6 linked regions of the Danio rerio genome follow. Each later gene encodes a partner of the first gene's protein in a complex. Links are inferred from orthologs where the notes say so. Each region holds a gene or a part of one and is shown in the gene's direction. Other genes may lie near its edges.

The links.
Region 2: chd4b (region 1) and mta2 share a complex: the UniProt entries of both Homo sapiens proteins name them as parts of the nucleosome remodeling and deacetylase (NuRD) repressor complex. The link is inferred for Danio rerio from reciprocal best matches to the Homo sapiens genes CHD4 and MTA2.
Region 3: chd4b (region 1) and cdk2ap1 share a complex: the UniProt entries of both Homo sapiens proteins name them as parts of the nucleosome remodeling and deacetylase (NuRD) repressor complex. The link is inferred for Danio rerio from reciprocal best matches to the Homo sapiens genes CHD4 and CDK2AP1.
Region 4: chd4b (region 1) and cdk2ap2 share a complex: the UniProt entries of both Homo sapiens proteins name them as parts of the nucleosome remodeling and deacetylase (NuRD) repressor complex. The link is inferred for Danio rerio from reciprocal best matches to the Homo sapiens genes CHD4 and CDK2AP2.
Region 5: chd4b (region 1) and mta3 share a complex: the UniProt entries of both Homo sapiens proteins name them as parts of the nucleosome remodeling and deacetylase (NuRD) repressor complex. The link is inferred for Danio rerio from reciprocal best matches to the Homo sapiens genes CHD4 and MTA3.
Region 6: chd4b (region 1) and mta1 share a complex: the UniProt entries of both Homo sapiens proteins name them as parts of the nucleosome remodeling and deacetylase (NuRD) repressor complex. The link is inferred for Danio rerio from reciprocal best matches to the Homo sapiens genes CHD4 and MTA1.

The regions. Positions count from the first base shown.
Region 1 is NC_133191.1:34,980,754-34,986,089, reverse strand, and holds the start of chd4b (chromodomain-helicase-DNA-binding protein 4), read left to right. Parts: upstream 1-2,057; 5' UTR 2,058-2,249; intron 2,250-2,861; 5' UTR 2,862-2,876; coding exon 2,877-2,925; intron 2,926-3,758; coding exon 3,759-3,868; intron 3,869-5,336. UniProt on the Homo sapiens protein: ATP-dependent chromatin-remodeling factor that binds and distorts nucleosomal DNA. Acts as a component of the histone deacetylase NuRD complex which participates in the remodeling of chromatin.
Region 2 is NC_133182.1:17,904,735-17,909,306, forward strand, and holds part of mta2 (metastasis-associated protein MTA2), read left to right. Parts: intron 1-2,064; coding exon 2,065-2,165; intron 2,166-2,272; coding exon 2,273-2,412; intron 2,413-2,496; coding exon 2,497-2,725; intron 2,726-2,816; coding exon 2,817-2,906; intron 2,907-3,714; coding exon 3,715-3,833; intron 3,834-3,920; coding exon 3,921-4,063; coding exon of another isoform or gene 4,064-4,077; intron 4,078-4,572. UniProt on the Homo sapiens protein: May function as a transcriptional coregulator. Acts as a component of the histone deacetylase NuRD complex which participates in the remodeling of chromatin.
Region 3 is NC_133185.1:50,698,810-50,704,120, forward strand, and holds the start of cdk2ap1 (cyclin-dependent kinase 2-associated protein 1), read left to right. Parts: upstream 1-2,112; 5' UTR 2,113-2,789; intron 2,790-5,311. Other genes in the region: sbno1 (protein strawberry notch homolog 1), read left to right, coding at 1,933-2,075. UniProt on the Homo sapiens protein: Inhibitor of cyclin-dependent kinase CDK2. Also acts as a component of the histone deacetylase NuRD complex which participates in the remodeling of chromatin.
Region 4 is NC_133176.1:43,109,582-43,114,377, reverse strand, and holds the end of cdk2ap2 (cyclin-dependent kinase 2-associated protein 2), read left to right. Parts: intron 1-1,008; coding exon 1,009-1,129; intron 1,130-3,855; coding exon 3,856-3,923; 3' UTR 3,924-4,152; downstream 4,153-4,796. UniProt on the Homo sapiens protein: Acts as a component of the histone deacetylase NuRD complex which participates in the remodeling of chromatin.
Region 5 is NC_133187.1:27,003,791-27,008,935, forward strand, and holds the start of mta3 (metastasis-associated protein MTA3), read left to right. Parts: upstream 1-1,624; 5' UTR 1,625-1,685; exon of another isoform or gene 1,686-1,789; 5' UTR 1,790-1,827; coding exon 1,828-1,855; intron 1,856-5,145. UniProt on the Homo sapiens protein: Acts as a component of the histone deacetylase NuRD complex which participates in the remodeling of chromatin.
Region 6 is NC_133192.1:39,376,403-39,381,641, forward strand, and holds the start of mta1 (metastasis-associated protein MTA1), read left to right. Parts: upstream 1-1,814; 5' UTR 1,815-2,105; coding exon 2,106-2,133; intron 2,134-5,239. UniProt on the Homo sapiens protein: Transcriptional coregulator which can act as both a transcriptional corepressor and coactivator. Acts as a component of the histone deacetylase NuRD complex which participates in the remodeling of chromatin.

The DNA.
Region 1 (5,336 bases):
TGTTATGTTCATTATTTAATATAGGCGCCCTCAAAACACACAGCCACACACAAGATGGGCTTCCAGCGTGGATTATAATTTTATTATAATAATAAATAAAAAATTAAAGCTTTTAATTTGTCACCTCTCATTATTACCTTTATGGCTTTTGTGCTTTTATAGAATAGGAGTTGGTAAACATTATCAAGGGCGTGCACAGATGGGTAGTATTTTAATTGTATGTAATTGGCCGCTCTGGCATTTGTAATTGTTGCTCTGTTGACTCTAATGGCGTATATGCAGAAGCATGCAGAAGGACTTTTAATTTGTCAGTAATCTGGGTCAAGCACTTCCGGTGAACTGTATACTATTACAAAATTGGCGCGTTTAAGGTCTGATTTCTTTGAAAGTCAGCAATCTCCACTGGCTGAGTGATATCCGATATAAAGTGGGTCTCAGATTATACAAGAACTACTGCATTGAATTACATTTTCCCCCGCCATGTCTTTAAAATATGAACATTTATTTTAGCCCAGTATATTCAATGGAGTTCTACTAATACTGACGGGCGTGTGCATGTAAACAGCTTTTCAACTTGTTTTACGCTTGAGCAACTAAATGAAAGCCAAAGTCTATTTAACGGATTGTATTTTAATTACATTACAACATCGATGCTGTAAAAGGAACCGTGTAAAATGTAAAAAGTCACATTAACTGTTCACCGAAGGGTTTATCAGTATGGGAAGAAACACTAGCTCTGCATATACCCTATGGCAGTACTACGCACTGCCTGCAGTAAAGACACACCCTTTCAGCCTGACATGGATGAGAAGATATAGGTGAACAGTCATTCTTAAAGCTTTTTTGGAAAACAAAAGTGTTCTCGGAGCTTGGGATGATTACAGATGAACCACTGAAGTCACATATAAGGGTTTGACAGGGTTTGTTCCGGACTTTGAATGTCTGCGGACCATTGCTGTCTATGAAGGATGGGAGTGCTCTCGGAATTAATTGAAAATATCCTCATTTAAGTTCTGAAGATGAACAAAGGTCTCAGGCGATTGGAATTGTCATTTTTGGGCGAACTAACCTTTTAATCTGATGGCGTATGTAACTAGTTGCTCTGCTGTCAGCTGGCTGTGTTTCAGCATTAGGGTCAGTTCTATGACATTTGAGTAAATATGGGAAACGCAGTGACACATCTGTCTTTATGAATGGCAAGTTCCTATAATAAGACATGGCGTATGCATATAAATAGAACTGACTGCTAGGTTTGCCTCCTGCTTTAAATAGATAATCTTGGCCAAATCTAAATGTGTACGGATGAGAATGTAACTTCTGCATTTTCCTCTCTTGAGAAGTCTCCTCGACCTGTTGTAAGCCCAAGCAGCTGAAGTCACCGGAGTTCAGACTCTCTAAGCATGTCCCGGGCTTCTTTTTGAGATTGTCACAGCACACGCAGTTCACAAAAGTTAGTGTTTATTTCACCGTTTCCCCTAGACTCATCAATCTCCGGGCCTGATATGCGATTAAAAGAAGCGCTGATGACATTTCATCACCTCTGAAACTGGGAACTGCGGCTCTTGTGAGTGTGTGGCATTTGACAGATACCCGAAGCGCACTACTTGTTAGCCTGACTTCTAACCAGGTGCTCATATGGGTTTTTTGTCACTCGTGCACCAAAAACCCAGCCAGGTGGACAGACAGCCGCAGATTATTATGGGCTGTCGCCAGCGGCCTGGGGTTTCCCTGGAGACCATGTGACTGGTGTTGTTTTTTTTCTTCCCTCTCTTTTAGGAGTTGTGTTTATTATGGGATGTCAGAGCGGCCTGCTTATTAGTATTATGGGATGGCAGAGAGGGCGGGAGGGGGCAGTGTCTCCATAGCAACGCGGTTGCTAAGGGGGCAGGGACTAAGAAAGGGGAAGGCAGTGTATACTTGCTACTGTGTGTGAGGGGGAGATGAGTATTATGGTCTGTAGGTTGCGAGGTAACTATGCAGAGTTGAGTGAGTGTTGTAGGGAGGGGGCAGTGTGCCTGGGATTATTATGGGATGTCTCTACCCCCCCTGATTTCTTTGTGTGTACGAGGATGTTCGCTTCTGGTCACTGACGCTGGGGAAAGGGGAGAAGAGTGGACGACGTCTCCCAAAGATTTACACCTTTTCGGAGCTTGTTTTTTTATTTTTGTAGTGGTAGGTAGTAACCTGCAGATTTCGCGTCAGAATAAAAGCTGATCGTAGCGCCGACCATCTACACCTTGGACTGACCTGTAAGTCAATTCCTCCCACCCACTTCCAACCGCCCGCGTTAACGATATAACGTAGATATACAAATGTATGTTTTTGTTGAGTTTTTTCTTAATGTAGCTTAAAACAGAAAACAAACATACAAACGTAATATTACTGGTAACTGTTACTTACAACTGCTATACCTCGCGTCATAACGCGCCATATGGTGTTTGTCGGGGGCTTCGCCACCTCCGCGTGGTATTCTCATGGAGGAAAGTTTTAGGTTGACGAATATAACCAGAAACGACAGCAGATAAGCGCTTTAACTCAACTCATCCAGCCGGCTGCCATTTTCCCTGCAGCCGGATCACTTGACTCTGTTTGCTAGCTTTGCTAACTTGATTGACAGCTAAGTTGAGGCTTCCTTTGCTCGGACCGAACGAGAAAGTTTACGAAAAAAGCCGAAATTATACGACTACGTCAAACTCTTTTTAACACTGCACGCCGTGTGATGATGACATGCCAACATGTTTAATTGATTTCATTTAATCTAAACACAGTTAGCCTCCCGTGTCACTTGTTTCTCTCGGTGTTAACATGGGGTGCTGCTAAAGCCCATTACAAAATACTGTGGTCATTTCTGTTTTATTCAGCGTCCAAACGGGAAAATGTCGGGGAGTGAAGACGACCGGGACCGCTTTGAACCCATGGGAGACGGTAAGGCTGTCCAGAACAGAGTCCGGACCCTCATTAACCACATCATGTTATATAACCTTCCCAAAATGAGCCCAAACATGCAAATGAACTGCTGACTTGTCAACGTAGATCTGGACAAATGGCCGTTTCTGTGAGGAAGAGTATGGCGGATTGAATGTTTGTATGTTTTGTTTGTTTGAGCCTCCAAGCCACGTGTTACCGCATCGCAGTACCTATTAAGTACAATCTTTAGTTTATGAAGGAGCATCAGCATGCAGAAGTCACTTCCTGATTCACTGGCTTGTATTACAACCAGCACATTTAAACGAAGAGAAACCTATTTGATACTGTACTTAACTTATTAAAAGCGAAACTAGCTTGATTTTGTACCTTAGCAATCACACCGCGCGGAATATTGTTTAGCATAGTGTGTCGAACCCATTTGTTTTGCTTTTCCTCTCCTGGCTGCCCTCAGTAATGGCGCTGGTATTGCAGCCTATCAGCAGAGAGCTTATAATAAATGAATGATTTCAAAAGCAAGAGCCTTATGCCCTAGTTTCACAGCTGCTAACATATTTGGACAGTTGGGTACATCTTAAGGCAGGAAGGCATGAAAGTGATGTATTCTGAAGACTAAACTGTTGTAATGGCTAGAAGTTCATCTATTAAAGTCATTAATTGCATTTAGTTCTTAGTCCTTAAGAAAATAATTAGGATTTCACATATTCCAGTCTTATGCATAATATAATATTCTCTGCTTGGGAAGGATAGGACAGACATGCAATCAAAAGAAAGAGGATTGTGCAGCTTTTAATTTTTCATGTATGATTCATTCACGTCTGTGTTTTGAACAGATATCGAAGAACAAATATCAGAAACAGATACTCCCAAATCCAAAAAGAAGAAGAAAGCAAAGAAGAGTCGTGAAAGCAGGACTAGCAAACGACAGAAAGTCATCAGAGAGGTGACACGCAAACACAACATACACAAGGACACGTTTGATTGAACAGTGACATAGTTTCAGCATTATTCAGATATAATTACTGTTCTTTTCAATTATCTATTGATCAAAAATGTATCGCTGAGTTTTCACTGCAGCTGTTTTCATTGTTAAAGGGCCATGAAACCCCCTCTGTTTTAGCAGGGTATTTTCACACCTCTAGTTTAAAAACGTCAGCAAAGTGGGTGAGTCCAGCTTTGTTTAGGTGGGAGTGGCGAAAGAGGAAAAGGTTTGCATGAAAAGAGGAGTTTGATTACATGCACTACAGCAGCCACACAGACGCAGGGAAGATAGACCAGGGGCCTGTTTCAGTAAGGAGGTTCAAACAACTCAGAGTTTAAACTTGAACTCTGAGTTGATTTACCGAGATATTAAAAACTCTGAGTTTTCGGTTTCAGAACAGCTGATCTGAGTTGGGTCAATCAACTTCGAGTAGACCAACTCAGAGTTAAGCGCGCACACCGTGACTATAAAAAGGCATTATCAGTGGAGCGCAGACATTACGAGTGACTATGGCAATATCTTATAAAAGAGATCAGCATTTCTTTCTCCAGCTGAACTTGATGTTCTCATGCAAAGTTATAGCAAATATGAGTGTATATATTTGAAAAGAAGCAGCCATCAACCAGTTAGCGTGGGAAAACAGCTGCTCAAGATAATGCCTAATTTAACTTTTTAGGTATTTAAATATTTAAGTATAATAAAATAAGTAATGTAATTTGTGAAGTTTATATATTTTTTTCTAAACTTTCTTTTATACATTTATTAGTTTTAAATGATTTAACAGTGCACTTGTGTGTCTGTCTTTTTTATTGATCAAGTGATAGAGGTTAATATAACATTTAGAAGGTAAGCAGTACTAAAAATAATTTTTAGAAAGAATAATAATCCCATTAATCTAGTTACAGTGCATATCGAAGGTGAATTCAATTTAATTATTTATTAAAAAAGCATAAGCCATTCTAGTACAGTTCTTCTGTGTGTGACTAAAATGTAGGCAATAGCTATGTTTCCATCCAAATATATTACATAAATTTATGTGCAAAACTGGAATATTGCATAAAAGATGCGAATAAAATTCCATCCAACGAGTCAAAGAGAAAAAAATTGTCACTTCCTGATTTAACTGGCACCAAATATCAACAGTAAAAACAGAATTTACTGTGGTAGAAGAAGCTGCGTCAATTAATTCTTTATTTAGCCTAATTAATGTACTTGTGCCTCGATGTCAGAAGACAATGCTGAAACACAATGAACACGTGGGGGCGTCTGAAGCCATGAGACGCGGAGACTCTTGACACGCACCAAACGTTCGGAGGTAATTAATAATATACACTAATACTGAAACAGTAAAGGCATTTTAGAATGACTAAAACAATATTTAAGACGTGTTACAGTGTTCTCAGCCTCCATTTACACACATTTTCATTAT
Region 2 (4,572 bases), on another chromosome or scaffold:
TGTGCTGTGCCTTCTTCAGTTTCAATGAAAGACTTTCCAGCAAACTTACAAGCAGTTAAACTGTGCATAATTATCTACCTTTTAAGTAGTAGTAGTTGTGCAAGTAGGAGATAAATGACGTTAGTACGTAATAACCGGTTATGATCGATTACTGAACCATTATAGAATTGTCCCCATCTGCATCGCATAATACATAATAACAAAACATCTTCACGCACTTGCAGTGTTTCCAACTGCTTAGAAACTCTGAATAAACTAAATAAAAAGAATAAAATAAATAATCCTGCCCTAACTATTTTTCACTTAAATGACAATTTTAGATTACAAAACGAAAACACAGACTTCATCCTTTTTAACTGGCATAAGTTTTGTTTTTTTTTTCCCCCAATCATATTTTTTTCTTCCCTCAAATAAAAATAGCAGAGTCAAATCGATCCCTCAATAGAAAATATGCATTTAATTAATGCTCCGCTATAATTTCTATATCGCAAACCTCTGTCAACATTTTTTATAGAAGTCATTGGTTTAAAGATTGTCTTGAGCATCTGATTTTAACTTTGAGCTTCTGTGCTTTCATTTGCTCTGTCTCTCTCGCAGTTTGATAGCACTCTTTGCGAGACAAACAACAAGGTGCATAGATTGACTTTTTTTTTTTTTTTTTTTTAAATTAAAGGCTACATATAGTATACATTTATAATTACATAGTTTGCATTCATTTGTATATACATTTTATATTTTACATAGCTATTAATATGCAAAAATCAAATAGCCTAAATCATTGGATTTGTTTAAGGGTGCTTTCACACCTGTGAATCGATTCAGTTGTTCCGAAACAGAGATTAAAATTGTTACATTGTTGCTCTTTGCTCTTGGAGCGGTTCGCTTTCACATTGCAAAGTTTCTAATCGGACCAAAAGAGCTAAAACAAGTCACGTGCGAGTAAACTCTCCTCACATTGGTCAGAGTGTCAGGGTTTATTTTGCAGCGTCCCGCTCAGCTGTCAGGAGAGGTGGTGGTTTGGTGGTGATTGACAGGGTGCGCGCGTGTGACGTGTCTGAGGAGAGATGCGGTGGGGAGGGGTGAGAAGGGTGCGCGACGATGCCTATTTGAGGACTGGGAGAGAGACGCGAGATTACCGGGAGATCATCACTCGTTTGCGGGCATCCGGAGACTCGCGAAACTTCCCGCCCTACTCATAATTCTCTCTTCATATAGCCGTAAGCCTATTACATATCCATAAAACACTGTGATATAAGCGCGCTCGGATCGGATCGCTTTCTCACTGCAATCGAACCGCTCCAGGGTTCGTTTCAATCGAGCCGAGACCACCTCACTCAAGCGATCTCGGAGCGATTACTTTGGCGCGGAACAGAGCGCGATTGCCCTGTTCACATATGCCAATCGAACCGCGCTAACTGGGCAAACGAGATACGTTCCGAAACAAAAGTGTAGGTGTGAAAGCACCCTAATTCGTAGATTAAGTTATGTTGGCTATTTTTTTAATGGATCTTTTATAAGAACTGTAAATAATTTTTCCAATGAAAAAAAATGTTGGTTTGTGGGTTGCTCCGACTTGTGGCCAACAGTGGACATTTCAGAAAGTTTGCGGCTTCTTTCTCTACTTTTGCTAAGACACTGAGGTGTTTATAATGCAGATCCTGGAAAAGGGTTATCAGCACTGGTTTGGCATCAACTTGTCTGTTTCAAACTGTGACCATCAATGTCTTTATTTTCACTCCTTTCATTTTGCTTATTTAGCACAATACGTCTATAGTTGCACTTGTTACCGCCCGGCGGGTTAACAAATACATGTTGTACATTTATGCAGCAAAACTTAAAAAATACTAATTAAAAAAAAAGAATATTTTAAACCATTTAACTGATACATTAATTGATAAAATATGCATTCCTTCGGTTAACAGTTAATCAATTAATGCAAACACCCCTACTTTGTGTATTTTATACTTGCAATTAACTTTCGGCTGTGAGGTCTCTTGAAAATCTCAAATGGTTTGTACATGTCTATCTTCTGTTTACCAATCAAAATGTTCATCCCTCCTTCAGCACCAAACCCAACCCCAACCAGATCACAGCACCTGGAAATAAACCTGGCATGAACGGTGCCACCGGCTACCAGAAAGGCCTCAGTTGTGAAAGCTGCCACAGTGAGTCAACTCGCCACTGCAAACATCCACAAACAGTATTTAGATACAAGCTGAGTAATTCCCATGCACTATACTGTATGTGTTATCATGGCCTGTTGTTCTTGCAGCTGCCCAGTCTCAGCAGTGGTATGCATGGGGTCCTCCTAACATGCAGTGTCGACTATGTTCGTCCTGTTGGATTTACTGGAAGAAATACGGTGGTCTGAAGACTCCAACTCAACTAGAGGGCGCCACAAGAGCCAGCTCAGTATGTCAACACCTACGTCTTTTAAAAATATATACAGCCAGAAAATGAGTATATAGCTAAATGAACATCATATCTGTCCAATAGGAAGCAGCTCCGCGTGGTCACATGACCCGTCAGGAGGTGCAGGGAATGTCCCCGTTTACCAGCAGTGCGGGACGAGCTAAACTTCTGGCCAAAAACAGGCAGACCTTTATCCTGCAGACCACCAAACTCACTCGAATTGCCCGTCGTGTGTGCCAGGACATCCTGCAGTCTCGTCGAGCAGCCCGTCGCCCGTACGCTTCCATTAACGCCAATGCTGTCAAAGCTGAGTGTGAGTCTTTTTATGCAATATATAAATAAAAAAATGCTGTTTTATACAGTTGAATGAAGATGTGTCTGACTGCCTCTTTCTTTTCTTTTAGGTATGATAAGACTTCCCAAAGCAGCAAAGAGTGGTGTGAAAAACCGGCCTATTCCTCGACCATCCCTCATCAATATAGTTAAAGATTTGGGTATGGCTTCAGCATTATTTCATAATAGAGACATGCTTACATCTTATCAAATTAGCTGACTTTTAAAGCCTAAAGTGTACAGTCAGTTTTTATGTATATGCAAGTGTCTACACACAATGTGCATTGGCAGCAGGTATGCATATACTTTGTCTACTTGGTCTCAACACTGAAGCAGACCACTCGCTTGACATTTTGAAATAGATGAGATGAATCAAAACAAGAAGAATTATTACAGATCTTATTTAAAGGCTGTGTCCAAAAGCTCTAAAATGCTGCCTTTGGATACAGCATTCAAAGGTGTGAAGGTATTAAGGGCGTACTCAAACTATGTACAGTTGCCTTGAACTGGGCCAAAGCACGCTTATCGCCATTCCCATCTCCCCTGGCGGCCCGCACTCGCCTTACATTCGAGCCCTGGCACGCTTACGTCATCGCTGATGCGCTGTTCAGTAGAGAAGCGCTCTCGCTCAGCACAGTGGAGATTTCTTACTGTTCAATGACACTTGTCCTAAAAAAAAACTAACCAATATTCATTTTTAGTATAATCTGAGGGATTGTTTTTGTTTGTCAAGCCACTTCTTTTGATTAAATTAACACTGATGCGAATGTAGTGAGTTGCAACTGTAAATGTAAACACACACCTAAATAACTGCAAAGTATACTCTTGGCTTCGTGGTGGGGAAAAAACTACTCAAAAGTGAATAAGTATGGCTCAAGACTGATCATTTGACTCTTATTTATTATTTTACACAATTTTATTCAGAGTATTCAGAGTAATATGTACTCGTTTTATTTATTACTTTTTTAGCCATTCAAGCTCCTTTGAAACTCAAAGCCCCTCGAGGTGCTCCAACCCCGATCAACCGTAACCAGGTTAACCAGCCTCGCAGCGCATCTGCCCTGCTGGGCAAAAGGCCCTTCGACAATGTGAGTATCCCTTACTAATGTACATTAGCCTTTCCCAGAGGTAGAAAAAGTAGCGTACATTGATCTAAGCACCCTCATTGGCCACAGGCTGGAGGTCATTTGCTCTCCACCAACGGAAGACCGTTTGCAATGGGAATGAGAGCAGCCAACCAGTCCGTCATCAAGAGGCAGAAAGTCAGTCAAGGCGATGCTCCCAATCCTGTGGTGTTTGTGGCTACGAAAGACACCAGGTATGCGTTTCAGGGTGTGTTCACATTTGATTACTTTCATTCAGTTTATGTATTCTGATGCTGTTATGGGACGTTCACACAAAATGCGTTTTTCCTTTGCAACGTGCTACTTTCCTATTGTTTTCCAATGTAAACACACGCTTGACGGACATGCTTGAACGTTACGTTTGTGTCTTGCCTTATTTGACAGCGTTTTTTAGAACTTTCACATGCAGTGCAGCTCATTTCTGTGAGCTTCAAATGCAGTGGACTATTTAGAAGAGCTCGGAGGTGGGGCAACCATTGCAAGCTTTTGTTTATAATTGAAAATTGGCATGGCAACTGCTTTATTTACTGTTACATCATGGCAGAGAAAGCACTTATTGTGGCTTTGTCCAGAATATCCTAAGTTATAGGATGTATCTTCAAGTGCATATCATAATTTATCGTTTTTTTTTATTTCTAATGGGTCCATTTTTGTCGTTATTACATCACGTTCATATAATCACGTCACTAACCTCACACTATGC
Region 3 (5,311 bases), on another chromosome or scaffold:
AAAGGCTGTGAACACTGATGTACACCTGATTTATCAGCTTTTTGTTTTTAATAAATCTGCAACAATTTCTAAAACTCTTTCTTGACATGGTCATGATGGGGGATTGTGTGTAGAATGTTGAGGAAATCAATTAATTTAATGCGTTTAGTAATAAAGCTGTATCATACACATGTGGAGAGTGAAGCGCTGTCAGTTCTCTCAGGATGCTCTGTATATTCACTGCGAGTCCTTTATTATGCAGCATAGTGTTTCTACTAAACCCGGACTTCAGACACACCACTCACACAGATACTGTATTAAACCAGGGTCCCCGCGGGGTCTTAAAAAGTGTTAAAGTCTTAAATTAAAAAATCGAAATTAAGGGCTTTAAAAAGTGTTAAATTCGCTGTTCTGGGTCTTAAATATTTCTGCACTGGTCTTATTTTTGTGATGTCCATGTACCGCTACATCTAATGCTCATTTAAATTCTTGTTATTGTTGCTTGGTTTTTGGGGTGTTGTAGTTCTTCTGTATTTCACTAGTCCAATTGTAATTTGCGGTATTACAACTACAAAAAAGTCAGCTTGCAATAGCCAATCAGCTTTCTGTTATTAAACTCAGTGCGCGCGGTGAATGTGACGTCATCGCTGTGTTTGCGGTAGTTCGCTTTGAGTGTGCGTGATGATTTCGGCTGGCAGAGTGTGCCGTTATTTCACTGACAAATGTCGCAAGTGCAGTTTTATAAGTCGGGAGCGCTGTAATACGAGAGAGCGAATCTCTGCTCACGCACCGGTTTCCTTCATAGACAAAACTGCTCGCGAGCTCTCAAAACACCGGCTGCTCACGTGCGAATGATCTGCTCTCGCTCGGTCGCACTCCTCTCGTGCTTTTCCAGAGATGCTTCAGCGTACTGTAGTGTTAAGAATAGTGAACTGATAAATGAAATACAGTGCAGTTTTACTACAGTAAAGTGTGGTGAATTGTAGAATAATATACAATATATTGTAAAAAACTTAAGCACTGGGGAGTTTATTATACACTTACCATAGCAACTGTAGTATTACCACAACAGAGTAACTGAAGCACTTTACTGTACTTCACACAACACTGTACAGCAGACACGTGTGCACTTTATTTCAGTGATAAAATGGGACTGATAGTGGGATTTATTTGAAGAGTGAACAGTACAGTAGGCTATAATACATAATCAAGTCTTTACCTATTTTCTATCACAGCTACACTTCTGCTTGCCAGATTGACCAATAATTATTGGCTAGAAACTGCAACAGCCATGGGAAAGGAGGAAAGCTTTTGTAAAACTTTGGGAAAACTCTGAGGGATGAGTTTGTTAAAACAAAAAAGAGGCCTTCAAAAACATCTTCAGTGATGATGATGATGATCTTTTTACTCGTCTGATTTTACTGTCTGTTGTTTTGGAGTGCCCCCTGTCAAAAATATATCTCAATGGTGAACGTGTCGAGTATAAAAGTCTTAATCTGTTTTGTGAGTTGTGCGGCGCCAGGTGAAAGTATAAATCTGCATTTAGATGTTTGTTTTTCTGTAGTTCACTGGTGCATTTAACCTGACTTTACTACTGTTCAATCTAAATAACTTTATTTTACCCCTAATTTTGTGCTTCTACATTTTCTGTCGTGTGTTCTTGATATTGCGATATAGGTCTTAAATTTAATACTTAATGGTCTTAAAAAGATCGTAAAAGGTCTTAAATTTGACATCATGATATCTGCAGAGACGCTGTTAACATGCTATACAGTGCAGAAGTGTGTGATTCGGGACACAGCCAGAGCCTCACTCCTCCTCCGTGTGTGTGTGTGTGTGTGTGTGTGTGTGTGTGTGTGTGTGTGTGTGTGTGTGTGTGTGTGTGTGTGTGTGTGTGTGTGTGTGTGTGTGTGTGTGTGTGTGTGTGTGTGTGTGTGTGTGTGTTTTCCTCAGGTCTGATCATCCCGCAGAACTGTGTGTCTCCGCTGGTCAACATCCTGTCATCATCAGATCAGAGTCAGCAGCTGGCGGTGCAGCAGCAACATTTATGGCAGCAGCTGCACCCGCAGAGCCTCACACACACACCTCTCACGTAACACACACACACACACAGGACAGACCGACTGCGCTCAGGGTTTCCCACAGTCCCCCGGGGTCTGCTTCTCCTCCAGCATGCGGACAGACGCTCTGCATGGATCAGCTCCGCTTCAGGACGTGGCTCTGTCTCCTGGCCGTCTGAGAGCGTGTGGCGGGCCGGCTGGAGCCTCTCCAACTCTTGCTTTTTAATGGTTCTTGTTTTTGTGTTGTTGTGTGGAGGAGCGGCTCCCGGAGCTCGTCTGCTGTACATGTTGGACTCTTCTCTCTCCGTGTATATCTGACATGTGATGTTCTTCTGCTCTGCGTGTCCTTCATCTCTGCACGAGTTGCACTACTGACGGATCTGATGTACAGAGAATATAACTGACTGCAAGACCTCTACCTCTTGCATTTGACCAATAAATCTTGTGGATTACCTCGATTTGACGGCTGTGGTTCATGTGATGTGCTCCTCTGTTGTGTTCAGCTCAGTGGAGGAGAGGAGACGGCACGCCTGCTCACCTTTACATTCTGCAGTTCATCTGCAGTTATAAGTGAGAGTAAGTGAATCATGTGCATTTATACAGTTCATACACATGACGACAACACCACCAGTGTGCAGGACAACAGCGCCAGTGCTTCACCACACACCAGCTAGAGGTGGAGTGGAGAGACAGTGATGGAGCCAGTTCAGTGGATGGAGCTGATGGAGGGAGTTTGGCCAGGACACCGAGGTTACACCCCTACTCTTTACCAGAAGTGCCCTGAGGTTATTAATGAGCACAGATAGTCAGGAGCTTTGTTTTAGGTCTCATCTGTAAGACTGAAAACCACTGATAGCCCCACCCTAAATTACTGAAAGCTCTGCCCTAAATTACTGATAGCCCCACCCTAAATTACTGAAAGCTCTGCCCTAAATTACTGATAGCCCCACCCTAAATTACTGATAGCCCCTCCCTAAATTACTGATAGCCCCTCCCTAAATTACTGATAGCCCCTCTCTAAACTACTGATAGCCCCTCTCTAAATTACTGATAGCCCCTCCCTAAATTACTGATAGCCCCTCCCTAAATTACTGATAGCCCCTCCCTAAATTACTGATAGCCCCTCTCTAAATTACTGATAGCCCCTCCCTAAATTACTGATAGCCCCACCCTAAACTACTGATAGCCCCTCCCTAAATTACTGATAGCCCCGCCCTAAATTACTGATAGCCCCACCCTAAATTACTGATAGCTCAGCCCTAAATTACTGATAGCCCCACCCTAAATTACTGAAAGCTCCGCCCTAAATTACTGATAGCCCCACCCTAAATTACTGATAGCCCCTCTCTAAATTACTGATAGCCCCACCCTAAATTACTGATAGCTCCTCCCTAAATTACTGATAGCCCCTCTCTAAATTACTGATAGCCCCTCCCTAAATTACTGATAGCCCCACCCTAAACTACTGATAGCCCCTCCCTAAATTACTGATAGCCCCTCCCTAAATTACTGATAGCCCCACCCTAAACTACTGATAGCCCCTCCCTAAATTACTGATAGCCCCTCCCTAAATTACTGATAGCCCCTCCCTAAATTACTGATAGCCCCACCCTAAACTACTGATAGCCCACCGTAAATTACTGATAGCTCCACCCTAAATTAATGATTGCTCCGCCCTAAATTAATGATAGCCTCAACCTAAATCACTGATAGCTCCACCCTGAATTACTAATAGCCCCACCCTAAATTAATTATTGTCCCGCCCTAAATTATTGATTGCCTCACCATTAATTACTGATAGCCCCACCCTAAATGAATGATAGCCCCTCGCTAAATTGCTGATAGCCCCACCCTAAATTAATGATTGTCCCGCCTTAAATTACTGATAGCTCAACCCTAAATTGATGATTGCCCTGCCCTAAATTAATAATAGCCCCGCCCTAAATTACTGATAGCTCCACTCTAAATTAATGATAGCCCCGCCCTAAATTGTTGATAGCTCCGTCCCTAAATTAATGATTGCTCCGCCCTAAATTAATGATGGCCTCACCCTAAGTTACTGATAGCTCCACCCTAAATTAATGATTGCCCCGCCCTAAATTAATGATAGCCTCACCCTAATTTACTGATAGCTCCACCCTACATTAATGATTGCTCCGCCCTAAATTAATGATAGCCTCACCCTAAGTTACTGATAGCTCCACCCTAAATTAATGATTGCCCCGCCCTAAATTACTCATAGCTTTTCCTTGAACACAGACAGTTCAACTTTAAATTATTTCTAGCCCCGCCCTAAATTACTGAAACCTTTTCCATCCAGACACTGATGCGGCTGTGGCAAGGTAAAAAGTTGTAAGACACGATGTCGTCACGTGGAGGAGTTTATGCGTCTATAAATCACGTATTTCATATTTAGAGGGTGAAAAAACAATTCTGGCGTATTTGAAGAATTTTAAAGGGACAGTTCATCCATAACTGACAATGCACTCACCCGAGAGTGTGTTAAACTGTTATAGGCTTCACTTCTCTGTCAAACACTGAAGATGATATTTTGAAGAATGCTGGAAACCTGTAACCATTGACTACCATAGTGTCTGCTTTTCTATTATGGCAGTCAATGGTTACCGGTTTTCAACATTTTTTTTTTTTAACATCTTCAAACAGAATAGTCAGAGTCAAAAGTGAGTAAATATTGATTTTTGAGTGTACTGTCTCTTTAAAAATGTTACAAGCCTGTAACCATTGACTTCAATAGTGTGAAACAAATACAGTAGAAGTCAATGGTTACCCTTTTCCAGCGTTCTTCAAAACATCGTATTTGGTGTTCAGCAGAAGAAATAAAGGTGGTGTGAGAGTTAAAGGGTGAGTAAATGAAGACGCTATTGTCATGTGTGGGGGAACTGACCCTTTAGCTCATGGCTCTTAAACTGGATTCCTGCAGTTTTCCCCACTCCTAAAGCTGGTCAACCAATCGAGATGTTCAACACTACTAGAGACTGTTAAGCAGCTGTGTGGTGGAGATGGAGGTGGTTGGAGATGAACTATGCAGAGCTTGTTTGAGTTTGAGACGGCTGCTGTAGTTTCTTTAACACGAGTGTTCATGATCAGAACTCAAGCTTTCCCTCATTAACTGAACATGTTTATTAATACTCGCTGATGGACTTCAGTGAGCACTGCTCAGAATGACTCGTTCTCATCTTGACATGCTGTAAACCAGTGTTTCTCAACCATGCTCCTGGAGGAGCACCAGCACTGCATGTTTCGGATGTCTT
Region 4 (4,796 bases), on another chromosome or scaffold:
AATGCAGTGCATTTTCGTAAACTGAGTGACAAAATGCAGTGCGTTTTTGTAAATTGTTTGAGTGTGTCAATGCAGTGCATTTTCGTAAATTGTTTACGTTTTGAGAATTCAGTGCGTTTTCGTAAATTGTTTGGGTTGTAAAAAATGCAGTGCGTTTTCTTAAACTGTTTGCGTTGTGAGAATGCAGCTGTTTTATTATTTTTTTTGTGTTAAAAAAGCAGTGCGTTTTTTATTTATTTATTTTTTTTTATGTTTGCGTTGGGAGAATTCGCAGCACAGCTGTCAAATGGATAAGGATCTTTACTAAATTTGCTTGCGAGTTTTGTAATTGCGCGTGTTTACTTAAATTGCAGCACATTGAGCTCTCTCGGCCACTGTACATATACCCTTGATTTATGTTTTGCTTTTATAGAAAACTGAAAATGACGGTCCTTGTTTTATGTCGCATATTTTATTAGACTAATCAGAGCAGCAGTATAACAGAAGCCTAAAATTTATTTAGTATGATAAAACTGCTGTGCTGCTTCACATGATCACAATTTGGGGGAAAAAAGGAAGAGGTTGACTGTGGCATAATAAAAGCTCCACTGTTTTTCTGCTATGTCGCACTCTTCTCTTATCAGCAATTGCTTGATTGCTTGGAAGTCCTAATTCCAAAATGTCATTTATTTCTTTAGAGGCAAAGCAGAATTTTCATTATCGTTATTTCAGTCATCAGTGTGACCTGATAGAATCATTTGTAAAACAACATAATTATTTAAAATATTTGTTTGAATATTAGTTTCCTAAACTGAAAGTGCAACCCATAATTTAACATTTTAACATACATTTGGATAAAGATAGCCAGAATGGCTTTAAATTCCCCTAAAATTCAAAGTATTGAGCCATAAATTATAAATCTTTTTGAATAATTACAAACTTTTGATTTGTAGTGTGTATTACACTTTTTTTTGTAAATAGGGTGTCACACAGACTTCCTCAACGGCTGTCTTGTTTTGTTTTTTGTAGCCGGTCAAAGTGTCCCAGGGATCTACCTATAGTGAGCTGCTCTCCGTCATTGAGGAGATGAGCCGTGAAATTCGGCCTACCTACGCCGGCAGCAAAAGTGCCATGGAGAGACTGAAGAGAGGTACTCCAAAGCCTTCTGAGCACAGTACAGCATGCAGCACATTTGTAACAGTCAGTGACGTTTAGCCCCCTGGAGTAATGTGAGCCTAAGGGCAGTCGAGAGAGTTGTTCTCAGTTTTTCAGTTCTGTGTTCGTGCAGTGTTGCTTTTGCCTGCTCTAAGAAAGGCTTTTGCATTTTACTCTGACTTATTGTTCCTAATGCTGCTTTGTGCCAAGCCTTATACACTACCTGACAAAAGTTTTGTCGTCGATCCCAGTTGTAAGAGTAAAAAAACTTGATCTCTGGTTGATCTTTTGGAAAAGTGGCAGAACATCGATTTCTTTTTTTTCAGATGAATCATGTTTTGAACTGCATCCCCAATCATTATAAATACTAAAGATGACCTATTGGAACGCGCTTGGACCCACGATTCTCTCAGAAATCAGTCTAGTTTGATAAAGGAAAAATCACGTTTGAGGTTATATTCAGTATGGGGGCGTGCGAGAGATCTGCAGAGTGGATGACAACATCAATAGCGCGAGATATCAAGACATTTGTGCTGCCCGATACATTACTAAACCACAGAAGAGGGCAAATCCCTCAGCAGGATAGCAGTCCTTATACATCAACCTCCACATCAAAGTTCCTGAAAGCAAAGAAGGTCAAGGTGCTCCAGGATTGGCCAGCCCAGTCACCAGATATGAACTTTATTGATCATGTCTGGGGTAAGATGGAGGCAGTGAATATGAATCCAAATAATCTTGATGAACTCTGGGAGTCCTGCAAGAACACTTTCTTTGCCATTCCAGATGGATTTAATAATAAGTTATTTGAGTCATTGCAGAGATGTAGGGATGCAGTCGTCCAAGCTCTTGGGAGTCACAATATTACATACACAATATTAATTCTTTATAATAATATTAATTTCTTACATTTATATAGCACTTTTCTAGACTCTCAATTGGCTTTACACATCGGTGGGGGATCTCCTCATCCACGACCCGTGTGCAGCTTCCACCTGACGCGGCCATATTGCACCAGACCACACACCAGCTGATTGGTGGAGAGGAGACAGAGTGATGAAGCCAATTATGATATGGGAATGTTTAGGAGGCCATGGTGGACAGACCACATGCTTTTAATGACCACAGAGAATCAGGACCTCAGTTTAACATCTAATCTGAAAGACGGAGCTCACTGAGCAGCTGCAGTATAGAGTCCCCTTCACTATACTGAGGCGTTAGGACCCACACAGACTGCAGGTTGAGTGCCCCCTGCTGATCTTACAAACACCTTTTCCGGCAGCAACCTAGCTTTCCCATGTGGTCTCCCATCCAGTTACTGACCGGGCGTAGCACTGCTTGGCTTTAGTGGGCGACCATGTGAGATTTGCAGAGAGCTCGCTGCTGGCTTTTTCCACTGCACCATGACTTTATATTCTATACTGGACATTATTTCTGTTAAGTGACAAGACTTTTGTCAGAGCTTATTGTCCTAATTAAATCATTAAAAATCAAGGCATGATCATATTTTATTTTGGTAAAATAAGTGTAATCTAGAGGCCTTTGCCTTTCATATAAGCCACTTCTGGTACCAAATGATCAACCAGAAGTCAAGTTACTATTTGTTGTTCCTAAAACTTGGATAAGCAGCAAGACTTGTGTCAGGTAGTGAAAATACATGCTTGGTGTTTAACAGTGATGGAAAAGGAGATTTATAAGACCTACAGGCCTAAAGCACCATCTGCTGTTAAAAATTAAGCTCAGAATTGCTTCCAGACAGAATTTCGACATATTACAAATATCTCAGAATTGATCCATGAATCAAACGACACCGATTAGTCGTCCCAGCTCCTACAGTTAGTTCTGGAATTTTTGCAGTCTGAAAACCATTCTGGAAAATGTATATCAGTGATCAATGTAACATGAGGATGCACAATGCTATCACATTTAAGCAAGTTGCATTTTTCAATCAATAACATTGACTAAGCAAATATTTAAATAAGTACATTAACACTAGTTTTAATGTCAAGAGTAAAGCTGTGGTCACACTAGAGTTTGTGTGTGCGAAATTCTGTCGTGTGGCAATGCGAAAAGGGGCGGGATTAAACAAGATGATTAGCCATTTAAAAAAGCAAGCGATTGGTCCATGTTTTCAATTCCTGTTCAAAGAGGTCATGTTTTCACTCTTGATTGGTCCCACGCAGTCAAGTGATGTGCTTTTGCAGGTCAGAGTTCACCAATTTTGAACTTTGCATTGCAGCGACCTGTAAAACTTGACGCATGACCCTGCGTTTCTGATCTGACGCATTCGCGTGCGTATGAATGGAAGTCTAAGAGGACGAAAGTCCAATGTGTGACCGCAGCTTAAGCGTACATTATTACTCAGGATTTGTTAACCCTGGGTAAATTGTGAAGCGTGTTCAATATTTCCTAAGTGTGTGAAAAGCCCTAGAATTTCTGTTAAGCTTTTGTACCGCCAGATAAATGAAGTCTGGTGTTTATCACTCATTTTTAATACAGTGTTAAGCTGTAAGGTATATATTGTGTTACTGTCGCTATATATTACGGAATAATTTTGACATGCACTGCCATCTAATGGCAATGTTAAATTTTCTGCATTTAAGACTTGTTATGAAAATATAAAAGCAAATGGCCTGACATTGCTCAAATTAATAATTGAGAGTGTTTTTATTATCATGAGGTTTTATTCAATGTGGCTTAATATGTGTTTGTGTTTTTCCTCAGGTATCATCCACGCACGTGCTCTCGTCAGGGAGTGTCTAGCGGAGACAGAGCGAAGTGCTCGCACATAACATCAACACACACACACATCCTCCCTCTGGTACTCATCTCCCCATTGTTCTGTCTCTCTCTGCCCAGCTATTTACAACACCATCTCTTTCTGTCTTTCTTATTGACCTTTGTTCCATTATGCATAGCCATCTCCCCGACGTACACCTCATGTAGTGTTACTGCGATTAGCATAGACATTTTTTAAGCCCAATTTTTGCAATTCTGTATTTAAATAAAAAACAAAATCAAGCATTTTGTCTGAATTTCAATTCCAGAGAACAAGTGTTTGTTTTAGAAAGGGAGATGGGTGATTTTCATTCATTTTATTTGGCTTTAGTCACGACGTACATGCAAAATATAGATAAAAAGCATTATGAAAATGTTTATTTGTAGTGACATATATATATAGGTATGACAATGACGGTTCGTTAACCACACAAAAACGAGAGAAGTGGATTCTTTGACGTGCTATCATCACAGTGTTAACAACGTGTCTTACGTCTTTGATTTCTCAACCTTAAAAAATTAAGTATACATAAACAATAAGGATAATATCACTAAAATAATAAACATGATAAATATAAAAGAATAACATGAAAATTGCAGGGTTACAGTTCAGTCTAGCGTTTTACTATCTTCGGATTGTCTTTCATTGTTGTTTCATTCAGACAGCCATTGGTCAACAGCACATTTAATGCACAGGTTTGAGTAATTCTTTCATCAGCTGTATTCAAATACTTATTATACAAATTAAGAAGGCAGTAAGCTGGTGTTCACCTCTTTTCCTGATTCATAGGAGTCTCAGATCCCATTGGTAACTCAATTAAAATGATAGTTCAGGAATAAATGGAGGGCCAGGCCACTCGAAACTAGATTTCAACAAAACATGAGGA
Region 5 (5,145 bases), on another chromosome or scaffold:
TGGAAAGTAGGGGTGGAAGGGGGGGGGGGGCTCCAAGACGAATATAACTGGAGTGAAAAACTTTGGTTATTTATAATGCTTCCGTAATCATCTAATAGAGCAGATTACAGAGCTAATGAGGTGCCAGCCGTGTTGATCATAAGCACAAGATCCTCTCGAAATTATTTTATAAATAAATCACACACAGTGAAAGAATGTGTGTGTGAATGAGAGAGTGTATGGGTCTTTCTCCTCACTGGGTTGCAGCTGGAAGGGCTGCATAAAACATATGCCAGAGTAATTGCCGGTTCAATCTGCTGTGGCGACCACTAATAAATGAAGGATAGTGAGTGAGTCAATGCAAGGCTATGTGTTGACTTTTCTTAATGGTTGGTCTTTGGTGGCTGTTACTTGCTCCCTCGCTCATCTTCTTTAAGCTTAGTTCCTGTTTTATCAGGGGTTGCCACCGCGGAAGAAACCACCAATTAGTCTGGCATATGATTTGGATGCCCTTCATACCCGCAACCCAACCCCGAGAGTACACTAATTCATGAACCCCTGTACTGGAAAGGCAGTTTCATTATGTTTATTCATTCATGATTTTACCAAAAGTGACTAATTAATGAGGACTATTTGATTTTTAATTAAAGCTGTCAATAACAGCATAAATAGGCCCAGCCAATCACACTGTCCTTATGTGTTTGTGGGAGGGAGGACCCAGGAAGAGAATGTCACTAACCATTTCTGCATATCTAGGTTAACAAGGGTTGATGGAGCATTATTTTATTTTGAAGGTGATTCAATTATTGGTGGGGATAGTTCAGTAATTGATAGATATTGGTGGGGACATATGCCCTCCATCCAGGCCAAATCTACACCTTTGCTCTGGACTGTGGGGGAAACCGGAGCACCTGGAGGAAACCCACACAAACACAGGGAGAGCATGCAGACTCCACCCAGAAATGCCAACTGACACAGCCAGGACTTGAATCAGCAACCCTCTAGTTGTGAGGCGATAGTGTTAACCACTGAGCCACTGTGCCACCTTAATGAGGTAAATAAAAGAAAAAATAAATAATAATAATAAATTCACAGCAGATTGAAAGGCAAGTACTTTTTCGGTTGTTAAATATATTATTATTTCATATACAATATATTGTTTAAACTATTAAAACCTCAATAAAAGTATTTTTTAAGAACAACAGACACAGACAGATAAAGTAGCATGCTAATAAAACCAAACAAAGTGTCAGCATTTATTATTGGTGTTAACTGGGTTTTGCCACTCATATAAATAGGTTGCTAAAACATTGTGCATCGGGTTGTGATATGTTCAAAACTAAATTAAACAGTGAATCAAGTATATCAATCTTGTTTTCCACAATTGACAGCTTTTAAAAGACACTTATTGTCATAACAAAAAAACTGGCAAAATATGAAAACGTTATTTTAAATGATTTAAATGCACATCAAAACCATGATTAATTGAATTCTGTGGGTAAAACAGTCATGAGTGTCGTGTTGAGGTTGCAGTCTGTAGACTTCATTCACCCTCCTTCTTCCTTCCCTCCTCTTTTCTCTCCTCCTCTCATCTCATCATCAGGAAGCTGCTGCGCTCGAGCCTTTTCTAGCGCGTGAGTGAGTTACTGTATTGTACTGTGAATCTCGGGAGGGGGGCTGCAAAAAAATCTCCTATTCTTACTGAGGTCCACCCCCCTTATTTAAAACTTCTTAAGCCAGATTGCTTTCCAACAGGTCACAGGACGTAGATGCCTTCTTGATTCACATATTTATTTTGTTTTTATTTTAGTTTATGGTTTGGTTTTTTAACACTCCGGGAGGGCAGAAATGGCGGCCAACATGTACCGGGTCGGAGGTATGTCCGTCTATATTCTGAATTAACGCAAGTCAAAACACAGGCACCACCGTAAGACCTGACTGGAAGGCAGGGACTCATTTCAAGCGAATTCCCGAAACCGGCCGCTCACTTTTAAACTCTTTAACACGTGCAGTGTCCTTGCAAAAGAAAACGATAACGTGGATGCAGAATATTTTGGGTTCTGATTTGGGTCAGGCCTCTTAAACTATCATAGCCGCACTAGCATTTTAGCAAGCAGGCTATGTTGCTAGCTAGCCACATCATAAACAAATAATCACTACTATATGTAAAACAATCGGAAACGCGCACTTAGAGCACGTTTCTCTTAGATTTACCCACATAGGTTAAAAGCGAGATATGCTTGCTATTTAACCATTGCAATTTTAGACGCCGATGTTTTTCTTTGTGATCATTTGTCTCATTTTTTGGCACGTATCCATTAGTTACGGGTTCTCATTCGGCATGCAAGGTAGCAAAGCGAGCTAGCATTTAACACCCCTCACTCGATTTCCTTAGAGAAACCACATTCAACTTCTGCCCACTTATTTGCCGAAGCGTTAAGAATTTGCACTGTTTTGATGTGCATTTGTTGTCACGCGTGTAATTAACAGCGTGTATTTAACAATACCGTCGCGTCGTTTGTTTGTGCAATTAGCCGGCTACATGCCGCGGAATTTGACATTGTTTCATGGCGGCGATAATGCAGTGCCATTGAAAATGCTTTTGCAGCTGGACGAGCAAACTTCCTATGAATTCACTGCAAATCTAATAGCATTTGTAATAATTGAATACTTTGCGCGGTTACCTTATGACATGCTCCTTGTGTGATGTTATGTGTTGATACATGTGTAAGAATGTCATTTAAATGGCAATGAAGAGAAAATGCTTGTTTGCATGAATGAAGTGTTTGTTAATGAATGCACATTCTTCACCTCGTCGTCTTGTTTTTGACAAATGCTATATATACAAATGTATCCCAGAAACAAACCATTTCTTAGCCTCAGTCAAAGGCCAAGCTGAAGGTCTTAGTGTCTTGTCAGGTCACACAACACAATTGGTAATGTTTTAGAATAGTAAAAAAAAACATTGCATTATAAAATGTGCCATTTCTAGGGATTTTCATCATTACCGTAATGTAAGTGCAAGAAGAATTCCTGCAATCGAAATGATAATGTTATCAGTTATGCCTAACTGTAAGGAATGTATCCTTTACCCAAAAATTCTTTAGTGTGCAAAATTGTCCGAGGCATATGCACAGTGCTGTGACTTGAAATACATGGTGTTTAAGTTTACATACATGCCTTTAGTTGCCATGATGGCATCAGGTAGAGAACTTATCGATGGAAAAAGTAAAATTTCACAAAAAATGTATGTTGCTGGTTTACGAATGTGTATGTCGTTGCCAACAGGGCAAAAATAGCAATAATGAGATCTGTTGGTGTTACTTCCATGCTGTTTTCTAAAGTGTGATATGATGTCACAAGTTTCAGTCGCAAATGTTTCAATCAGAATGTATAAAGCAAATAAACTGATGTTTGAATCTGATGATAGTTTTTAGATTGTGTAAACTGATGTGCAATTCGATTTAATTCATTTAGATGAACAGAAATTGGTGCATGAAAGCATGTCTGGTGTTTAATGTAGTTTTCTGGCTATAAAAGCAGAAACAAAACCTGCTTCACTCCTTATTTTCATGCTTAAATATATGGTCCACAAGCTTATATCACAATATTATATATAAAAATGACAAATGGCTCATTCATACATCCAAACATAGACTCTCTTAAATGTTTACATGTCTGTACTGCACTTCAATACTGCAACTAGATCGGCATGTGGCACATGTTGTAATTCGATTTCTGTTTAGTTCGATTATGACATTAATTGGATTGTTATTTTTTTATTGTGGTTTACATGGTAGACTCTTAATCAGAGTATTGTCTCGAAATGGATTATTATTATCCATGTAAACAATAATGGATGTTTAAATCCATCTCATTTGGCTACTTTACTAATTTACTGAAGTGGCCAAATGAGATGGATTTAAACATCAGTTATTGTTTACATGGACAACAATTATCTGATTTGAGACAATACTCTGATTAAGAGTCTACCATGTAAACCACAATAAAAAAATCTAATTAACGTCATAATCGAACTAAACAGAAATCAAATTACAACATGTGGCACATGCCGATCTAGTTGCAGTATTGAAGTGCAGTACAGACATGTAAACATTTTAATCAAACTGGTACTGTTGTGTAGGATTTTCGCCGCATTTTGCGTCAAGATACAGTAGTCTATACCAGGGATGGGCAAACTTGATCCTCGAGGGCCGGTGTCCCTGCAGAGCTTTGTTCCAACACTAGTCAAACACACCTGAACAAACCAATCAGTGTCTTCAAGATCACTAGAACTCTATGATGAGGTCTATTTGAATAAGGTTGGAGCTAAACTATGCAGGACACTGGCCCTCCAGGATCAAGTTTGCCCACACCTGGTCTATACACAAACACACGGCTGTTTGACATTATTCTTTGCACCTACCAAGTCAGTGAAGGACTACAGACACCTGCATCGTGAAATGCAGAGGTGTTTTTCTCAATAAGGTGTCTGGTATCAAATTTCATTAAAACAACACTCTTGCAGCAGTTCATACTCGCATTCAATATTTCGTTTGTCTAAGGGGGCATACATGAGATATTGTTGAATGAAAGTGAAGTGCCAAATTGCAGTTAAAGTCAACAAATTAAAAATAAAACTCCAGAGGAAATGTGGATAGTGTGGTGGCCCAACGAAATTAATCGAATTATGTGCTTTTAACATGTAAAACATAACAGGGACATTCAAAAAGCAACTCATGTTAACAACTTAACCATGTTATTGTCTTATTCAGATTAAAGCTAATAATTTGATTACTGATGTCCATGTAAACGTAGTCAATGTTCCCTCCTTTTTACTTGTGGACTGGTAAACACAAATCCTTCATAATACAATTTGTAAACCTTCTAATGAATAAATATCAGCGGGAACCAGTCGTGCCCCAGTTCATTGTTTCGAGTTGTATTTAATGTAATTTTATACAATGACAGGTTCGGGATTTCTAGTTTGCATTTGTTTGGTAAAATTTCTTATCAAAGAAGATATAGTGTCCCAATTACATCCATGTTTAGTATATAGAGTTAGATGAATTTGTACAATAGTATAGTGATGTATATAATAGTATAATGATGTTCACCATTTTCCTGTTTTTTTGTGTGTGATGTTGTTGTTTTTTTGTTTTCCGA
Region 6 (5,239 bases), on another chromosome or scaffold:
GCATTTGCTCGTTGCAATTCTAATTTGTTCACAGCATTGTGCAAAAGTAAACACACCCTTATTTACAACAAGCATAAGCTTTCTTTGGTTAAAGCTGGGCACAACTGTAAACTATATTGCAGGACATATTGGAACTGAGCCTACAACATACACAGGTCTGTAAATAATTCATGAAATTGTTCAATTTAGAAGACATTTTCAAGAAAATAAAGATTAATTTTTTTTTAAATTTGCTTGACATATTTTTGACAGCTTGTTCAACATTTTTTTATGTAATCACTCAAGTAATGAAATGAGGACTATTAGCTTTATATGGGATGACTATTCAGCATTTACAAGTTTAGTTAATTTTAAACGACATGACATAAGCAAATGATAATGTTAAAAAAATAGAGAGTTGTATGAAAGCAATTGATGCATGTCCAAAAGCATCATTTGTTGGAAGGAATGAGAAACTGCTACTATGATGTGCACAAATGACTAATTGTTTTGAGAACTGCATTAACTATTGTGCAAATGTAAATAGTGTTGTGAGAAATGCACCAAAGCGACTGAGAAAAACTGTAACATGTCCCTGTAGTAACGCGTATAATCATATCATCAAGACACTACATCCGCAAAGCAACCAGGATTAAAAAATCTGACTCATCATTGCAGAAAGGTGTGAATTAACTTCACAACAAATGCATCAAATAATCATTGGAAAAGTTCTTACTGTAGTATTTCTTACAAACGTTACGTGAGATCTGCTTTCTTCATGTCAGTCACTGTGCTGTTTATCTGACGCAGCCAAGGTGGAGATTAACGCACACTCTAACAGGCATGTGGGAATGGTGGGCGGGGAGAACTAGCATTAAAGGCACAGGCAACAAAAACAGCTACATAGTGTTCAGAGCAGAAAATCCCAATAATCTGAATGGTATAATAAATAATCTGATGGGTGTTTTGAGCTGAAACTTTACAGATAACTGTGGAGATACAAAAGATGTATCTTAAATCTTGAAAAATGGGTATAATAGGTGCCCTTTAAAACTGAAAATAGCCATATCAGAGATGTTGGATGGTGCTCTTTTGACTCTGCCGACAAGCAACCATTCAGCAACACTAAAGAATGCATCAGGGCCAACCCAATTGCCAACACTGCTGGTTCTGGAAGAAATTTCCCCATTAATTTTCTCCCTACAAAATTTAAATAAAAAGTCTTTGTTAAGGGGCACAAAATAGAATTGGGATCAGACCATATACTACAGCCAATTTCGTTTATTCAATTTACCTATACCGCAAGAACTGTGGGGGAAACCGGAGCACCCAGAGGAAACCCAAGCGAACACGGAGAGGCAAACTCCACACAGAAACGCCAACTGACCCAGCCGGGACTCGAATTAGCAACCTTCTTGTTGTGAGGCGACAGTGCTAACCACTGAACCACCTATCACCACAAGTGCATTATAGTTACAAATATATAACAACTTTCTACTCGCACCCTCACAACCAACCACATTACCCTAGCAACCTTACAGCATTACAAAATATCAGCACTTGAATAAATCAAAGATGGACTCTTTGTTCTCTGAAAGCAAGTCCAACATGTCTGATGCTCGCCTCACAGTTTCATTAGACATTATGTAGTTATTTTTTTGCTCCTGCGTTCCATCACTTGTTTATATCTTTGTTTCAAACTCCTGTAAAAGCAACAGTTGTTTATTTCTTTCGTTCCGCCTCTAGCGGGTCCAAAGTAGTACAGCAGTGGTTCAGCCATTGGAAGTAGGCGGGGAAAGGCGAGTGATGCTGCCACACAGAGCCCCTTCCCCTCCCTCTCGCGCGCGCTCCAGCTCCGTGGCCCGACTCTGTGCTCTGCTCCGGAGTGAAGGATCCCGCTTTGTTGAGAAGGTGTTCCAAAACACGCGGGCGAATCCGAACGCGAACACGCACACCGGCCCGTGGAACGCGGCTTCATCAAAATATGTGCACTGTCTCTTTAAGATCCCTTCTCTGGTCCGCTTCGTATTGATCAATCCACCATTTTCCAGCGCACAGCACTGAGCGGCGGCGGCAGAGAGAGAAAGCCCTACCTGGAGACGCCAGGCAGGACCGGGGGCAGAGTCATGGCAGCCAACATGTACCGGGTCGGAGGTAAGAGATCATGGTTGGCTGAAAAAAATGTCGTGCCCCTTTTATGTGTGTCGCTCTCGTTCATGCTTTTTCGCAACAGGGCTTAGCAGTTTTAGGTTTGTCCTTCCTCTTTTATTTTTTAAAGTACTGTGGGACTACAGTGAGAGAGGAGGATGAGGATGGTGAATGCGAGATGAAGAGGGGCACTCTCTCGTTTCGGGACCCCGAGAATGTTTTACGCTACTACAAACTGGCGCAACATTTACTGCCGTTAGCATGATGTAGCGTGTGCAAGTGTCATTGAGTGTTAGTAACAAGCGGGCAACTCTCAAATTTACACCGAAGAAACGCGTTTGAGCTTTTAAAGTTAAAGTTTGAGGAGCACGCCTCACTTTAGGGACTCTGGCTGCTTGGAGAATTTAGTTAAAGTTGGTTGTAGATTTGCACTTTCGGACTTTCTCCTTAAAAATATAAATTCATAACAGTATTTGCAATTTCTAAATAGGCAAAACATTAGCAGCTATTGACTATCAAAGTACAACATTGCTCCCAGTCAATAAATAGTGCTAATATTGTTTGAAGTCATATTTCAGACCAGATATTTAAAGTATCATGGGAAACACTATATGAAGCATCTCACAAGTCCACTGAATATGTAAATATAAAACCTCATGTAAATATAAAAACGTCACCTCAGTAGTTAGAAACACTGTTTTGAAGGTAGATGATGGTTGATGTTCAAACCGTTGACTTTAAAATTAATGTAAAGTTTTTAAAATATTTCTACATTCAGACTTTATCTTTAATAATATGATTTCAGAAAAATATTAATTGCAAATTCTAAATAGTGAAATTATATTAGCAGCCAAAGACTATCAAAGTACAACATTGCTCACAGTCAATTAGATAGTGCTAATGTTGTTTTAAAGTCATGCCTACGTGTGATTTCAGCCGGAATATTCAAAGTACCATGGTAAACAATGTATGGAGATGTCACTGAATGAATGTGCGAATATAAAACCAACTTTACCTCAGTATTTTAAAGTATATTTTATGTAATATGAACAGAGAAAGTTTTGGCATATAGAGGTAAAGCTAATACTTGAAGTCCGTCTCAGTGAGAAGCTGTGGTGTATGAAAAAATACCAAATATAGACTATATAACGCTTGGTGTTAAAGAATAAACTTATTTGGGATGTGTTTTTACAAATTTGTCAAAACACACTGCTTTTTTCCACCCCTAATTTGGGTCACACATAAAAATTGTTCACAATTATGTGTAATTATCTGAAGCTCAGATACACAGTTAAAGGAATAGCCTAGTTAACCCCAAAATGTGCCCACTGTTCCACGGAACACAAAAGGAGATGTTAGGCAGAATGACAGCCTCAGTCACTGTTCGCTTTCATTGCTTCTTCCATACAATGAAAAGCGAATGGTTACCGAGGCTGTCATTGTGCCTAACATCTCCTTTTGTGTTCAGTGGAAGAAAGAAAGTCATACAGGTTTGAAACAACATGTGTGTGACTGAACGACGTCAGTAGTTTTGCGCAGTTTTCGGGTTATCCTGATTGCGCTTGGCTCAGGAACTGATTCTCTGTTGGTATCAATTATCCATTAGGATCTCTGCTGTTGATTTTCAGGCAATGAATGTGTGCTTACAGTGTCCGGTGTGTAATTATTGGTTTAATGAGAGTATTTGGACTAGAAAGTTTGCTGTTGATGTAGGAGAGCTGCTTGAACATGAAGACAATATGAACTTTTATCAGGAGCATTATGAGTGAATTTACATATGTTCTAATGCGTTATAATTCTTAGTGCTCTGCATAGATGTGACTAGTGTTTGTGAATCAAGTATATGGTATTCAGATTAGGGCTGTACGATATTGGAAAAATCTGACATTGCAATATATATTGTGATTTACTTCGTTATACTTGAAAAGAATTAGGGTCCACTTTATTTTAAGGTTCAGTTCTTGTTCTTTGCAAACCCTTTTGACTTTTGCTTTAATAAACTCCTTACTAATAGTTATTAAGGTAGTTTAGGTGTTGGGTAGAATAATATCATTCAGAAGATGTGCTTTGTAAGAACTAATGTGCAGCCAGTATCTCAATACCATGCATGCTAATAAGCAACTACTGGTAGTTAATAGTGAGAATTGGTCCCTAAAGTGTTACCTAATGTATTCATTTTGATTGACTGGGATGATTCTGTAGGCGACTGAATCAGAACATACAATAAACAAACTACAAGCAGAGATAAATGCAACAAAAGAATGATTAAAGTGAAATAAACAGTGCATACATTATGGTTTTGTATATGTAAATGTAAAAATTACACTGCAAAGTCAACTCAACATTGCATATCTTTGAGATGTGACTATTGTGGATGCACACATTGCGATATCGTTCCTAAAATGATGTATTGTGCAGCACTAATTGATATGTTTTTTATTTTTTATTTTTTTTTAAAGCGCTCTTGATATATCTGCTATATTTATGAAAAGGTGCAATGTGGATGCATGCAGTATATCCATCCCAAAAGCTAATGATACAGATGAACTGGTATAAATGGTGGAATTTATTTTGAAGGGTTTAAGGCATAGTTGACCAAAAAATCTATATTTACTCACTCTCAAGTGGTTCCATTCTTTTATGAGTTTCTTTTTTCAAAACGAATATTTAGAAAAATGTTAGAAACCTGCAATCTTTGAATTCTATAATAGGGAAAACATCCTTTTGAAGTCAACAAATACAAAAAAGAAAAACAGGTTTGACAAGTGTATGGGTGAGTAAACGATGACAGAATAAAACATTTTGGGTGAGCTATACTTTAAAATTCCCATTCCATACTCCTAAAACAATTTGAGAGCAAAAAGTGATCTATTTTCAGTATCTCTTCTCTCAGTATTTTTGCTCATCCACTGAAAGTTCAGGCAAGCAAAACTTTTCAGAAAGTTTTACATTTATCAAAAGTAATCAATATCATGAATCATTAAACAATTTAATCTAAGTCAATTGAAGAAGTTTCTCATCACTTGAATGCTCTGAAATGTCCAAGTTTTGCTTGCTTGAACTTTCAGTGGATGAGCAAAAATATTGAGAGAAGAGATACTGAAAAATGGAT